Linked DNA regions of Caenorhabditis elegans. The protein of the gene in region 1 purifies or fractionates together with the protein of each later gene. This does not show direct contact. Each region holds a gene or a part of one and is shown on either strand. Other genes may lie near its edges.

The links.
Region 2: the proteins of phf-30 (region 1) and F47B8.8 fractionate together in Caenorhabditis elegans (co-fractionation; one large-scale study listed by BioGRID). This does not show direct contact.

The regions. Positions count from the first base shown.
Region 1 is NC_003283.11:8,464,488-8,471,896, reverse strand, and holds phf-30 (PHD-type domain-containing protein), read right to left. Parts: upstream 2,858-7,409; 5' UTR 2,845-2,857; coding exon 2,677-2,844; intron 2,628-2,676; coding exon 2,412-2,627; intron 2,361-2,411; coding exon 2,301-2,360; intron 2,253-2,300; coding exon 2,082-2,252; intron 2,032-2,081; coding exon 1,942-2,031; 3' UTR 1,830-1,941; downstream 1-1,829. Other genes in the region: gplb-1 (Glycoprotein hormone subunit beta domain-containing protein), read left to right, coding at 892-933, 1,445-1,591, 1,641-1,829; mrpl-4 (Large ribosomal subunit protein uL4m), read right to left, coding at 3,065-3,140, 3,758-4,002, 4,054-4,632; mrps-2 (Small ribosomal subunit protein uS2m), read right to left, coding at 4,871-5,203, 5,509-5,709, 5,907-6,095, 6,140-6,211; natc-1 (Protein MAK10 homolog), read right to left, coding at 6,676-6,811, 6,857-6,979, 7,047-7,341.
Region 2 is NC_003283.11:14,328,663-14,336,053, forward strand, and holds F47B8.8 (Aminopeptidase N-like N-terminal domain-containing protein), read left to right. Parts: upstream 1-3,011; 5' UTR 3,012-3,080; coding exon 3,081-3,291; intron 3,292-3,422; coding exon 3,423-3,724; intron 3,725-3,810; coding exon 3,811-3,918; 3' UTR 3,919-4,005; downstream 4,006-7,391. Other genes in the region: pepm-1 (Aminopeptidase N-like N-terminal domain-containing protein), read left to right, coding at 504-714, 887-1,191, 1,238-1,354; srm-4 (Serpentine Receptor, class M), read left to right, coding at 4,754-5,008, 5,077-5,252, 5,304-5,487, 5,532-5,735, 5,784-6,014; srm-5 (Serpentine Receptor, class M), read left to right, coding at 6,567-6,600, 6,666-6,907, 6,968-7,143, 7,191-7,371.

The DNA of each region.
Region 1 (7,409 bases):
AACTCTTTTTCAGTAAACGAGAGAAAGTGAAATCGCTAGTAAATTAGACGTCGAAGTAAAAGTGCCACTTACGTAAACGAGTGATTTAGTAAATTAGACTATTAGTTAATGAGGGTTTGCCCTAATTTTTCTATGCACCTCCTTTTAGAATTTTCAGGAGAAAAATGGATTACTATATGAATCGCATTTCGAGAAATTCATAAATCTGAGATACATGTAACTGCTACAAAAATTTTCTCGAAATAATCTTGGAACTCTCGAATAAAACATTCAACAGGAAGAAAAAAGAAAGAAGAATATAAATTTAACAAATTTAATACTAAGAATTCGGTTTCAAAATTTAGGAATAGGGTATGTAATACATTGATTTCAAAAATTAAAAGTACGGGGAAAATTTTTTCGAGAAAGAAAATAAAAAATTTATGCAGAAAGTGATCATTATTTTGTTAATTGCAAAAAACATTATCAAGTTGGAAGATGTTGTCATAAAGTCATCAGAATGATTAGATTGATATGAATATATCTCATATATCAAAACTAAAAAGAATGGCAAATGGGTGTGGTTTTGACCACTGATTCTTCTCTCTGTCTTCTCCTTCTTTTTCTCTTCTTTTCCTTTTCCTTCACTTTTTATCCAAAATTCATTGTTTCTGAAAATGTGATGCTCCGGAGATGAATTTCTTGCCTTCTCGATTCCAAATTAAATTCTTCCCGCCCGTCTTTTCGTGCAATCTGGAGCTGTGAGCGTCTTTTTTGTTGGTGAAAACAATGTGTTCTGGTGGTGGGTGTGGTGCTCTTTGGCATCTGCTAACAATTTCAAATTAGATCCACAACTATTTCTGAGCTCCTAGAACTATTTTTCATTGTTGACGTTAAGCTCTTTTGAAAAAAATGCTTATATTTCCCGTGATCACTATACTTCATATATTTTTGGTAACTTTTTGAAATATCTTCTAAAATGAATTTAATATGTAACAATATTCTAACAAAATTTTTAATATTGATCAGATAGTTTTTCCAAATTTAAGTATTAACCAGGCGCGAAATTTTCCGAATTTTAGGCCAAAAATACGGTGCCCGGTCTCGACACGAATTTTTTTATTAGGTAAAAATGGGTGTGTGCCTTTAAAGAGTACTGTAACTTTAAACTTTCGTTGCTGCGGAACTTTTGTCGACTTTTCATAGCTATTAGATAAAAATAAAAAAATATTCAATATTTTCAACAAATCTTTAGAAAAACTATGTAAAATCGATAAAAATTCTGCAACAAAAATTTGAAGTTACAGTACTCTTTAAAGGCACACACTCGATTGTATTTAACAAAAAAAGTCGTGTCGAGACCGGTTACCGTAATTTTTGCGCAAATCGGAATAATTTCGCGCTTGGGTAATAAGCATCACATCTCCAACTAATTTAAAAGCAAAAGTGTGATTTTTAAATTCAGATTTCGGTTGAATCTGGAAAAGAATGCGAGTTTGCAATGCGATTGGTCCCAGGATTCAATCCACTTCGTCAAGTTGATGCAAATGGAAAAGAATGCCGAGGAAACGTGGAATTGCCATTTTGCAAGGGTTACTGTAAGACTAGCGAGGTGAATTTCCTTTTTTTTCCGATTCAAAAATAATCCAATTAAATTTCAGAGTGGCACCCATGGCTTTCCACCACGAGTTCAAAATAGTAAAGTGTGCACATTGGTCACCACTTCAACTCGAAAAGTAGTTCTTGATGATTGTGATGATGGAGCCGATGAGAGTGTCAAGTTTGTAATGGTTCCACATGGAACTGATTGTGAATGTTCTGCAGTTCCACTTGAACAACATCATTCATAAATTATCATACATTCATTCAAAAATTCATCGAATAAATAAAAGTTTTGTGTATGCTTGTTTTAATCAAATACAGGGTTAATTTTTAATATAAATAGATCGTGGAATAATCAATTCACAATTTTGTCGTTCTGTCTCGTCCCATTTTCATTCGTTTCGCATCAAGTTTCGCTGGACTTGGGGATCGTGACCGATTGGAGTCTATCTGAAAAATTTCAAAAAGGTGAAAGAAAAAATGACTTTCAAGAAACTCACAACTTTCTTTGAAACGAGACATGTTTTGCAGTAATATTTGAAACTAGGTTCCGATGCTTCTTCAATCGAAACTGTAGGGATACTGCATGCCATGTGGTAACAATCTCGACATCTTCTACAAGCGAGAACTTGATTTCCAGCTAATGAGACTCCGTGGCATACTGCACAGGGCTGGAAAATATATATTTATGATAACATTTGTTTATTTAATTATTTTACCTGTTCACTTGTACAATAGATTGAATCGTCAATAACTGGCACTAGTTTCTTCAATTTCTTCTGAAAACATAATTTATTTTGAAAATAGATCCAAAATTAAAAATCCCTTACCATTCCACCAGGAGCAGAGGACGATGAAGCACCAGACTTGTCTATTACAAATCCAGATTTATTTAAAATCTGTGGAGGAGCATACATCAATCGTTGAGTTCCGGCAATTCGTTTTTGTGGATTCAGCATATTTGGATTGAGTTTCGAAACATTACCCGAATCCATTGTGAAAGAATCTGTGTAAAAGTTGTTTGTGCTGGAAGAAAGTGACCATGTCTGAAAAAATGGATGAGATATTGATTTCACAATTCATATTTCATGAAACCTTGGCAACCAATTCAGAAAATTCTTTATCAGTGCTTTTATCGATAGATTTCATAAACTTGATGAGTGTCGAAATGTATGCATTCGCATCGAATTTTTCTTCTTCAGGAGATTCTGACGTGTCTTGTTTCTCATCAATCATCAGAATATCATCATCAACGTCTGTCATCTTTATTTAAAATCTGAAAATTTTTGATTCGTTTTTTTCTCATTGGTGAGAACGAGGAGGAAATAGAACGGATTGAACTTTGAACAATTTTTGAAACATTTTGAATAGAAATTCTGTATTTTTATTTTCAGGATACTTTTATAATAAGAATAACAATCAAAAACAAAAAGAAAAATAAGCCTATTAAAAATTCTAAATTACAAAAAAACAAAATATCGAATCAAACAACTGGTGGCATCAATGGATCCTCTTCTGCTTCCGCCTCTTGAAGAATCTTGTCCTTGTAGTCCATATATCTGAAAATTTCCCATTTATCTCTAAAGTTCTTTGGGAGTAATTTTTTCACTTGTGTAGTGGCTTTTCGATTTTTTCTGAGAAAATAAAAACTGCAAAATCTAAAACAAATATGTTCGATTTTTAAAAATCGGGGAACAAAATGTTCGGGAAGTTACCCATAAAACGCAATTCTAACTTTGTTTATGCTGATGACTATTTCTCGAAAAATCAAAAATTCGTTTCGAAATATCGGAAAAATGAAAACTAAAAACATTTTTAACCGGTTACCTTGGTATTATTTTGTTTTTTTTCGTTTACTTTTATTTCTATTTTTTTCAAAATTTTTAAAATATTGTTTTTCAATAAGTTTCATTTCAAGAAAAAAGCGTTGCTGCTACACCAGGGCTGTATCCTTATTGGTTATTTTGGTATTTTGACGAAAAATTGATTTTTTGGTTTTGAAACCAAAAAACCGAAACATTTTTCAATTATCAGCGTTTTTTGAAAAGTAATTCAATTTTTTTTGGTTTTTCGCAAATTTAAATTGTTTTGTTTTTTGATCCAAAATTATTTTTTTGGTCCCAGCCCTGTGCTACACAAGTGACGTTTTTTAATTGTTAATTTTCCAAATATTAACCTGTATTTCTTATTCATCGGCCCAGCTCTATGCATTTGTGTGAGAAGTCGTTCTTCAACTCTTTCCAATGCACTTCGTGACAGAACAATAGTATCGTATTTCATTAATGAGAAGCAATTCAGACCATACACTGGCATCACATTGAGCCACGGAAGAGCTTGTTGAGCTTCAGCAAGTCCACCGCTAATCTCATCACAATCATCAACGAAAAGAACAGAGTATCCGTAGTTTCGAGCTTCGCAAAGCTGGAATTTTTGAAATTAAAACAGAAAATGATTTTTCTATAGATAACTTACATCAATCCAATATTTAGGGTCTCCATTCTGTAAGTTTTGAATTTTGTCAACAATATGCAAATCGTCTTGTGTGTGCTTTAGAGTGAGAGCAACACAAAGTCCCTGAATTCTGACTGCGTCTGGAAGCATGTAGAACCACGTTCTCGGTCCACGAACACCATTTGCGAAACCTCCTCGAATAAATTGTGGGGAACGAATAGAACCAACGTGAGCCCGTCCAGTCTTCTTTTGAGGCCACGGCTTTCTACCCCCTCCGGGCATTTCAGCTTTTGTCAACATTTTCGTCATTTGCACATTTCGATATACACTTTGCCACGTGAGGTTACGGTGTAGAATATCGATACGCGGTGATGTTCTGAAAATGTCTGGATGGAGATCCACGAGTCCGAGCTTCTCATCTTCGATGGTATCCAAATTTGAAACCCAAGCTTGTGGAGTTTTGATGAATGGATTTTCTGGTTTTCGCCATAATTCTCTTCGTGTATCGATGGATTCGCCAGATGAAGTCGAGGAAACATCCTGAACAGCCGATGAGAATGCTCGACTTGAAATTAAAAAACGCAGCTGCCTGGAGAGCATCTGAAAAGGGATAAGGTGTATAAATAATTTTAAAAAACCAAAAAAAAAGAAAGATATGTTCTAACACTGTTCGTTTACAGTAGTGATTCAAAATTACGATTTGAAAGCAATATTTTGATTTTTTAAATAGGTAAACAACTGGATATTTAGAAAATGAAGAAACAATCAGAAAACAAGGAAAACAAAAGATCTAATCAAAAATTTTGAAATCTTGAAACTAAATACTAAAAATTAAAATTTATTTTCCTTGCTGCTGACGTTTTCGTTCTTCTTGTCCTTTTCGAACGGCTTCCTTGAACATTCTGAGCAAATATTCAGTGGATTGTGGTGTATCATCGTTTGCAGGAACCAAATATGTCAAGTAAGCCGGATCCGAATTCGAGTCAACTACTCCAATTGTGGGAATCGCCATTTTTGCGGCTTCAACGATGGCTGGATGGTTTTCGCCGAGTGATGTGAGGGTTGACAGGAAGCAGACAGCATCTGGAAGTCGAACTGAAGCTCCGAGAAGTTGTCGAGTGTTCGTTAGAGTTCCTGATTGCCACTTTCGAACGTGAGAGTATTGCCCAACCTGGAAAATAACACCTTTTCAAATTTTTTTTTGTAAAATTTTTTTGCTTGATTTTTAAAGATTACTGTTTAAAAGACATACATTTTTACAGTAACATTCACAACTAGAAAACAATGGTGAATATTTTCTGAATAAAAAAAAACAGCTCAGGATCGCAAATTCCGCAGAAACAAATAATCTCGCAAGATTATTAATTATCGGATCAAAGTATGTTCACATCACTGCTGTTATGAAAACTCGAACCATGAATCATTTTCCAATAGATTGGTGTTCTCACCCCTACACCACCATGCACACTGTCTCACCTCATCTGCTGCCTTCTCAACATCAAACATGGTGTCTCGATTGGAAGTGACAAAAAGAATCATTCCACCGCGCAATGACACATGAGCAACGAAATTTAGAGCTCTGACGAGATATTTTTTGGTAATATCGAGGTCGAAGAGGCAAACTCCAAGACGTTCACCGTACAGGGCCCACTTCATATTGTTGTTTACTGTTCCGACCTAAAAAAAATTATATTAGTTGTTAATTCAACTTCTCAAGCTTAAAATAAATTTTAAAAAATGCGAAAAAATCCCGAAGTTTTTTTCGTAATTTTCCAGTGCAATTTTCGAAGAAAAGAAAATTGGGAAATCGACTTTTAAACGTATTTCATTCATTTTTTTTAACAGTTAGAACCGCCTTTCTTTAAATAGACTACCTTATGTCCGTAGTGAAGTCTTGCTTTAAACATCTCATCGATATGGACCATTTTTTCAAAATTAAATAAATCTTCATGTTGAAGTGACGCGGAAACGAATGGCTTCAACACTGTTGGCTGGACTGTTCCTTTTTCAAGAGTTGCACGATCCGGAACAGACGACGATGATGAAGTAGATGCAACTGGTTTCTGGAAACAAAGAATTCTAAATTATATTTTTGGTAAATGGTTACCTGCTGCGACGCGGAAAATCGTGTCGAGAAGGCTCTTTCTGTACGGATTGCAGCTGCTACAACTCGTCTCATCTGGAAATTCGTGTTGAAAGAAAACATGGTAAGTAACTAGTAAGTTAGAAAATAAGTAATAATCAATTTGGATACAGAAACCAAAGAATCGATAATTCAAAGATATTTTGCAAACTGAAAACAAACAAGTTCATAGAAGCATAAAATTTGATTTGAAATGTATTTCGATATCTCTGAGAACAATGTGAATGTACTGTACCAACCGAGAAAATTCGTGTGCTATGAAAGGAAAGAAGACGGGGAGGCGGGGTTCACTAGTCTGAATTACTCAATCAATAAAATATGAAAACAAAAATCGAAATATGAATAATTATTTAGCTGATTATATAAAATACATGAAAGAAAAACACGGGGGACTTATGGCATTCTATTGAGATGATTCTTGAATATTTCTGAATCTACTGATGGATTGTGACTGTTGGAGAGATCGCAGCAATAATTGGCAAACAAGAGTAGAGTTGTCATCACTTTTTGCTAATTTTTAGACATGGAAACATTGGAATCTCTTCTGAAAACGACCAAACGACATTTCTGTCCGTCAAATCAAGTTTCAGAACTCTGCAAGCAATAATGTTCGATTTCGCCACGTGGATCAATTGCCTGGAAATAAGAAGATTTTTAAACGACCAAACAGCATCAACCAACATCATTTCGCGATTTTGCTCCACAGAGTTATCGATTTTTTCGAGATGTTCACGTGCTTCATTGAAACTTTTCTGAGCTTGATCGATCAGTGTCTCAATCTTGTCTTCATACATTTGGTCAATTCTGAAATGCGAATAATTATTTGTATACCCATAAAATGACATTTTTTAAAAACGCAGTAAACGCTTACCCCGAATCACTTTTAAAACGTTCGTAATCCACACGAACTGGAGGCCCAAGTGAGTCGAATGGTTCGAATCGTCTTTCGAATCTTAGTTTTTCAGCATCATCTCCACCCTTCGGCATCTTGATGATTCCTTTACGAATCAGAACAACTGTCAGTCTCACAACTCCATCAGAAATCATTGAAATTGCGATTTGATTGAGAACACTGAATTGATGAGCAGCGACACGACGTTTCAACTCTTCTCCAAGTTTACATCTCTCTTCCCACAGTTTTTTGTTTTTAGTCTCTCTCAGTGGATCTGGAAAGTGCATAACAGAAAACGGCTTCATGTCTTTGTTCAATAAATTTTTTGAACCCTAACTGTAA
Region 2 (7,391 bases), 5.9 Mb from region 1:
CGATGTGCCCATGCGCCCACCACTCTTCCGTATTTCTATTTAGTTTGAACATATAGAAAAAGATAATTGACGTATTAGATTTCTCTGATCTTTGTAAAAGATAATTTTTTCTCAATTAACAACATTGATGACGTCCATTAAATCCTTACAAAGTGTATGCGATATGTCGTTTGCTTTCCTTTTCAGGCTACATACGCTTTTTTTCGAGAGAAAGTTATCTAAACTGAATTGAAAAAATTAAAAGAAAGCTGTTTTCAAAAATTGAGTTTTCGCGATGTTTGCATTGTCAAAAATTCGAATGTCCAAAGTATTCAGTTATTATTGTTGTTTTTGGTATTGTTTTTGATTTACCAACAACCAAAAACCAAAACTGCCTGCAATCTTTTTCCATTTCTCTTATTTTGTTGCATTACCACCAACAAGTATTTCTCACACACATTTTCAATCGTAAACGCCTTCTCATTTCCATCTATTCTCATTTCAGTTTGACCTTACAACTAAAAATGTCAGAACTTCTTACTACGTACAGGCCAATTAAAATTCTTCTCCAACTTGATCCCAATCTGGGAAATAACTCATACAATGGTAGAGTAAAAATCGATTACGAGTTCACAGGAGAAACATCGGAGATCAAAATTCAAACATCTAGAGATTTTCAGTGGACTTCTGTCAGACTTGCCACGTTTTACGATTTCAATGAAGGATGTCCTGTGTGTAAGTTTTTAAACTTAAGTCTATTTAAAAGATTTGAATCAGTAAAATTTTGATTAATGTTGAGCAATCAACGTCCAAATAAAAAATGTTTTTAAGGCAGTCAACCTTTTTGGTAAATTGCCGAATTTTTCAAAAATGTGGACTTTTGTTTAAATATTTTTCCAAATTTCAGATGCAAGTGTTGATTGTGAAAACTATGTCCATGATGCCGAATCAGAGATACTGACTCTTCCATTGGGAAACCCCCTCACTCCTGAAACTACTGAAAATGGATTCTACATTGAATTAGAATGGACTGGACCTATAAATCCTCAGGGAGAAACTACTGGACTTTATGCAATTGATGAAAGTACTATTGAAGCAAATATGAAAGATGGGAATGCTCATAAAGTATTTCCATGTTATGAGGGAGGAGTTTCTGCAAAGTTCTGGCTGACTGTGATAACTGATGAAAGAACTAGAGTTGAAACTAATATGGTATGCTTTTGGAAAAGCAGAGTTTTGATTTTGATAAATGTTTCAGGATGACGCTGGGCACGAAGAATTCGAAGGAAGAGTGAAGAATAACTTTTTAAAAGAAGAAGAACTTACTATTGAAGATGTTTACATTTATGTCACACCAATTATCGATATGGAATAGTGTTTCCAATTTTTTTTGAACAATTAATTTACCGAATCAATGAATAAGTTTTTTTATTCATATATGTATGTGTTCCCTGGATGTTTCATAAGTATGACAAATTTACTAAATGTTCACGTGTGCTTGGGGGGTACGTATCAAGAAGTTGCTAGTTTCCGAAAATTTTTGGACTTGGCGTTTTTTTCTGATTTGTTAGGGGTCTCGAGTTAATCGTCCTATGTGGGTGAACTTCATAAAAATATTTTTTCTGCCTCTTCCTATATTAAATCCTGAAATTGCATTCTTGACAGAAATAAAAAATAAGGGCACGTTGTCGTAATGGGGTGTCCCGAGAAATGTGACTGCACTTTGAGAGCTTATATCTTGGCTTAGGGTTGGCGGTTTCTTGAGCAATTTGTTTCAATAGCTTATAAAAATAGCGCCTTCCATCGTCATCATTGTGGGGGAGCTTTTGGGAAGGCTAAAACACTGATTTGAGCGGAATTCTGGAGTATGGTCGAAATGGATGTATTCTTTGTACTGACGAATTTCATGTTTTTTCAGCCCCAAATCTTCAGTTTTTCTGACATTTGGTTCCAATTTGTGCGCAAGAGAGAACTTCGTATTTCCAATTTTTTGAAACTATTTTGAAAAAAATTGGCGCACTTTCCAAAATGTAGGCCATCATTCAATTTTTGCAAAATCAAAAAGATTGATTAAACGTGAAAAACTTTTCTACCACTCTCTCTCTTTCTCTATTTTTGGTGATGAATTCGATAATTTTCATTTCTTATTTTTAATAACGTGAGGAAAACTCAATTTTGAAGACTTTTCGAGATTTTTACTTTTTCCCTAATCTAATTGAGGGCCGCACTTTTTGAACATGTTGGCTACTTTTAACCTGACTTCCAGCAGGACAGGCTGGAGGCCTGCAATGCTATTGTATTTCACTCAAACCCAAAAATCAGGGATTAGGGCCACCTTCTTACTCTTTGAAACTTTAGGCCTTTTCTATCCCTACACCCAGCAGAGCAGGCTGGAGGCCTTCTCTGAGAGGTATGTTTCTATAACTACGTATGTTTTTGGAAAAGTAATGAAAAAGGTCACCTAGGTCAGTTAACCGGATTGAGGGCCAGAGGCCCGAATACACAAAACGTATTGGACAGCCGTTAAGCCTATACTGAGCCCAAAAACTCGAGTTGAGAGCCACAGGCCCGAATACACGAAGAAGTGTTGGAGATCCGTCAAGCCTATTCTTAGCATAATAATTCAGTTCGAGTGTCGCAAGCCCAAATAGACGCAGATGCGTTGGACAACTGTTAAGCCTATTTTAAGCAAAAAAATTTGAAAAAATTTTTATTTCTAAAATTAATATTAAACTAAATTTGGCCGGTCTTGACAAACTTCAGCACATTTACTTGGCATTTACTCAACACTTGACTAAACTTTAGCGAATAAAGCGAATTATTCTTGAGTTACTCTACGCCGAACTAAACTGCGAAGCCTAGCAACTCTCCGATTTGCTAGTCAAGATAAGTTTATAAATTCAAAACAATGGCATTGAAATGTTTTGTTTATTTTTTTTCTGATTTTCCGAGGAGAAAATATTTACAAATTCAATCGATGTTTTTTCATTTTTCTCTATCTCTTACGGGTGCACGTGTTCCTCCTACAAACCAGTTTTCACTCGTATCAAACTGTCGAGGCCGTCTCATTTCTGTCATTTATTCTCTGATTCTATTGAAATATGTCGGAACTTCTCACCACATATCGGCCGACTAGATACATGCTCCAACTCGATCCAAATATGGCAAACAAGACTTACTGCGGAAAAGTGAGAGTCGACTATGAATTCACTGCAGAAACTTCGGAAATCAAAATTCAAGCATCAAGGGATTTTCAATGGACTTCTATTAGGCTGATCAATTTTTACGCTGTATACCTGGAATGTCCCATTTGTAAGTTAATTTAAATTTTGAAACGGTTTTTTTTTTGGTTTTTTTCTCAATAGTAATTGTGCTGAAAAAATTATGGACTCAAATTTTGAATTTCAAGACATTACAAAACAATACAACTTCCCAAGTTTCAGATGCAAGTGTGTTATGTGACGACTATAACCATGATCTGGAATCTGAGATTCTTACACTTTCACTGGACACACCGCTAACCCCAGACAATACACAAAATGGATTCTACATTGAATTAGAATTTACTGGACCCATAATTATTGCAGGGCAAACTACTGGCCTCTTTGCGGTTGATGAGAACTCAATTACGGCAAATATGAAAGATGGAAATGCACATAAAGTTGCACCATGTTATGAAGGTGTTGCTATCAAGACCTGGCTGACTGTGATAGGTGGTGAAGGATCACAGGTAGAAACTAACTTGGTAAGGATTTCGATATCTTCAGCACATTAAAAAAAAATCAATTTCCGCATCAAACAAACATAATCCTATTTTTGTATATTTTTCAGAATAGCGATGGACAGGAAGACTTTGAAGGTCGCGTCAAGAAGAACTTCATAACGGATGAGGAAATTACTATTGAAAATCTATGCATTAATGTTTCTAATTTTTCTTGAAACATCTTTTTTTATGTGAATAGATTAATATTTCTAATTTTTTCTACCCCAATTTCTATTTTGCCATAAAGATTTTCCAAGTATTGGAATTCCGATTTTATTTCAGTTATATCACAAGAAAAATAGGAAAAACAATTATAGCACCAAACAAAGCAAACACCAGATTATTCGATATCTGCAAAATCCGGAAGTCTATTCAAGGTGGGCCATAGTTATACGGACTACTTCTCTTTTCATAGAGGTGAATAATCTAGGTTAGAATATACTATAAATCATCAAATAATTTGCAGGCATAATTTAATAAGATTGAGAAAAATGAAACCAAATTTGCGTGGTTCATTTTGATCAGCATGTGACTTATTTTGTTTCTTTTTCCATTTTAATAGCACACATTTTTGAGAATCTATTTAACTTGTTCCACCACGCAGTGTAGGCGTAACAATTTCAAAGACAGCCAACCTCGTGTGATTCAGATCTAATTGAGTCAAAGCTCGAGGTAACTGAATTTTCAGACCTCCGATTTTCCATGTTCCGAATAATATTTTCAAATGCGTAATAACATCTGATTATTATTATTATTTGTTTTCGAGCCATTTTTCAGCAATAAATTTTTATCAGTTCCTCATTTCGGGTAAGTTTTTTGTTTTAAATTAAAGTTCGAAACACTAAACTTTAAAACATTCAACTTGCTGATTATTTGTCTGCTCTTGTGATTTTGCACTTAATTTTATAATGGTATGTATATAAACATAATAGAATTTACACGTAATAAGCAGAATTTATATCAAATAGAATAGCATTTAACATCTGTCATACCAATAATCCATAACACCCAATGACTTCTACAGCTCCCCCGGAAAGTGAATCTTCGGATGACATTGGTCCACCTGCGGAACTTGGTCCGATTATCCGTAGTTATCACTTTTACAATGATCTGGTTGCCGGTGTATTAAGCATTATGCTCAATGTTCTTGTGATATTAGTATTTACTACACGGATATCAACTGCTTCAAAACTATTCAAAAAAGTGATGACAGTTACAAAACTTGTCGAGATGTTGTTTAGCGCAAGTTATATTTTGACAGCTCCGGTAAGTCAACTTCTGATGAGTAACGGTGATGGGTGGCATTTAATCAAAATAATGTATTGTAATTTCAGGTATTCACATCAATTTCGGTCGATGATTCATTTACTGGTCTTATGATTGTTAATACTGGGTGGCAATTCAATTTCTATTATAGTCAAATTGTTCTTGCCGCGGCACTTGTTTTTCTAACTCAACAAATTTTTCTAGCCCCTTGGCTTTACTACATTAGATATGATCAAGTTTGCAAGTATGTTTTAGATGTTCTAACTCAATTTACAAGATTGAAGTTATTTTCCAGAAAACATGGTGTTAGATGTATCGATTTCTTAAAAATGCTAATTATCAATTTAATTTTTCAAGTTCTCACATCAGTGAGCCTTTGCTTTTCGTCTTTCCCAACTAGTAAGGACATAACCGAGCTTCAATTTGTTGCCAATAAGTTTACTGGTTCAAACTCTGCATTTCTTCTTTTATCATATACGGTTGAAAAACTTTGAAGAATAATAAAACGGGTTTTTTTTTTCAGAAAGAAGTGGATACTGTCAGGGAACAGATTGAACACGTCGGATCAATAATGTCTGCGGTTGCTTACGTATTAACTTTAATCTTGTCAATTTTGGTCATGATTTTGTGCACGATAAAAATCAATTTAAAAGTTCGAGAATCAAAAAACTCAAGTAACAATTTATTGGTACTGCAGAAGAAGATGAATCGAGTTTTATTGGCACAGGTAATCCTTTAGATTTTACTCTATATTCTTTAATTTCAACATTTTCAGTTCTTCTGTCCATTAATATTCATTCAAGCTCCATTCTACTATTCAGTCCTTGGTCCGATAGTTGGACTTTCCCAAGGCCTTGTTACAGACCTTCTCCCTCTCCTTTTTGCCTGGTCACCTGTTGTAAACACCCTTTTTATATTCATTCTAAATTCGGAAATTCGAAATGCATTGATCGGAAAACAACATGTATCAACTTCTGAAGTTCGGTCATTTGCAAATAAAAGCTGATTCTAAATCAAAAAATCTTTTTTTTCTGTATCATTTGCGTCTGTGTTTTTGTCTCTTAACATTGGGTTTATTTGTTTGTTGGTTTCTTACCACATTTCTGGATATTTTTAATAAATCGATTTATTTGTGAATATGTTTTGTCTTACAATTAAATCTTTTGCTCAAGACATCGACAATTTTTCGGTAGGTTTTTTCTAATAATGAAGCAAACATGTTACATTCTGAAGTGCTCACAAATTGGCGTTGAACTAAATTAAATTTTTAAAATATAATTTTAACATAGTCTACATAGTTGAAGAATAATTCCAATTTATGTTGTGTTGTAAGTAGCATTTTATTTGTGACTGATAGTGAGATCAACTATACAACCCGGTTAATATCATCACCCAGTCAGTATAGATGTAACACATTTGCTAGTGGCATGAGTCAATGGAGTATGTTTCCCTTGATAATTTAATTGTCAGGTGCTGGATTAAGTATCGAGTATTATTATTTGTATCAATATTGGAAACTCGCGCCAATTATTCGTTTGCAGACTCACATTATTGAACTATGAATTTTGAAAAGTTCTTGTTTCCTCCACCGCGTAAGATTTTTTTTATTGAAATAAATGAAACTTTAAATAAGGAGCTTTTACATTTTTATTTCCAGCTCTACCTGGGAATAGAACATCAATGCAGCTGGGGCCACCGTCTGAGCTTGCACCAGTTATCCAGAGATATCATTTTTACAACGATCTTATTGCTGGAATTTTAAGTATCACAATTGGTAGTTTGCTCATTTTTCTAGTCACAACTAGAATTTCAACGCCCACGAGATTATTCAAGAAAGTTCAAGCAATTTCAAAGTGCACGGAGATTTTGTTTAGCGCGAGTTATATTCTGACAGCTCCGGTAGGTATATTTTTAAGCCGTTCAGTTTTCATTTGTTTTTTTTTTCTGAAAATTTTTTAGGTATTCACATCAATTGTAATGAACGATACATTTTCTGGTCTAATGATTGTCAACACTGGATGGCAATTCAATTTTCATTTCAGTCAAATATTTCTTTCAGCAGCTCTATTTTTACTCACTGAGCAAATATTTCTAGCGCCATGGCATTATTATATTAGATATGCACAAGTTTGCAGGTTTTCCTCAATTTTTGTGCTTCAAATATTAGAAAATATTTTTTCAGAAAGGGCGCCGGATGTATTGACGTATCAATTATAGTTGTTTTGAATATTATTCTACAAATTCTAACTTCAATGAACCTATGCTACGCAGCTCTTCCGACTAGTGAGGACATACAATTACTACAAGAGATTGCAAATAAGTTTACTTTATCATATTCCGCATTTCTTCTTTTGTCTTATAAAGTGAATAAACGGAAAAAGTA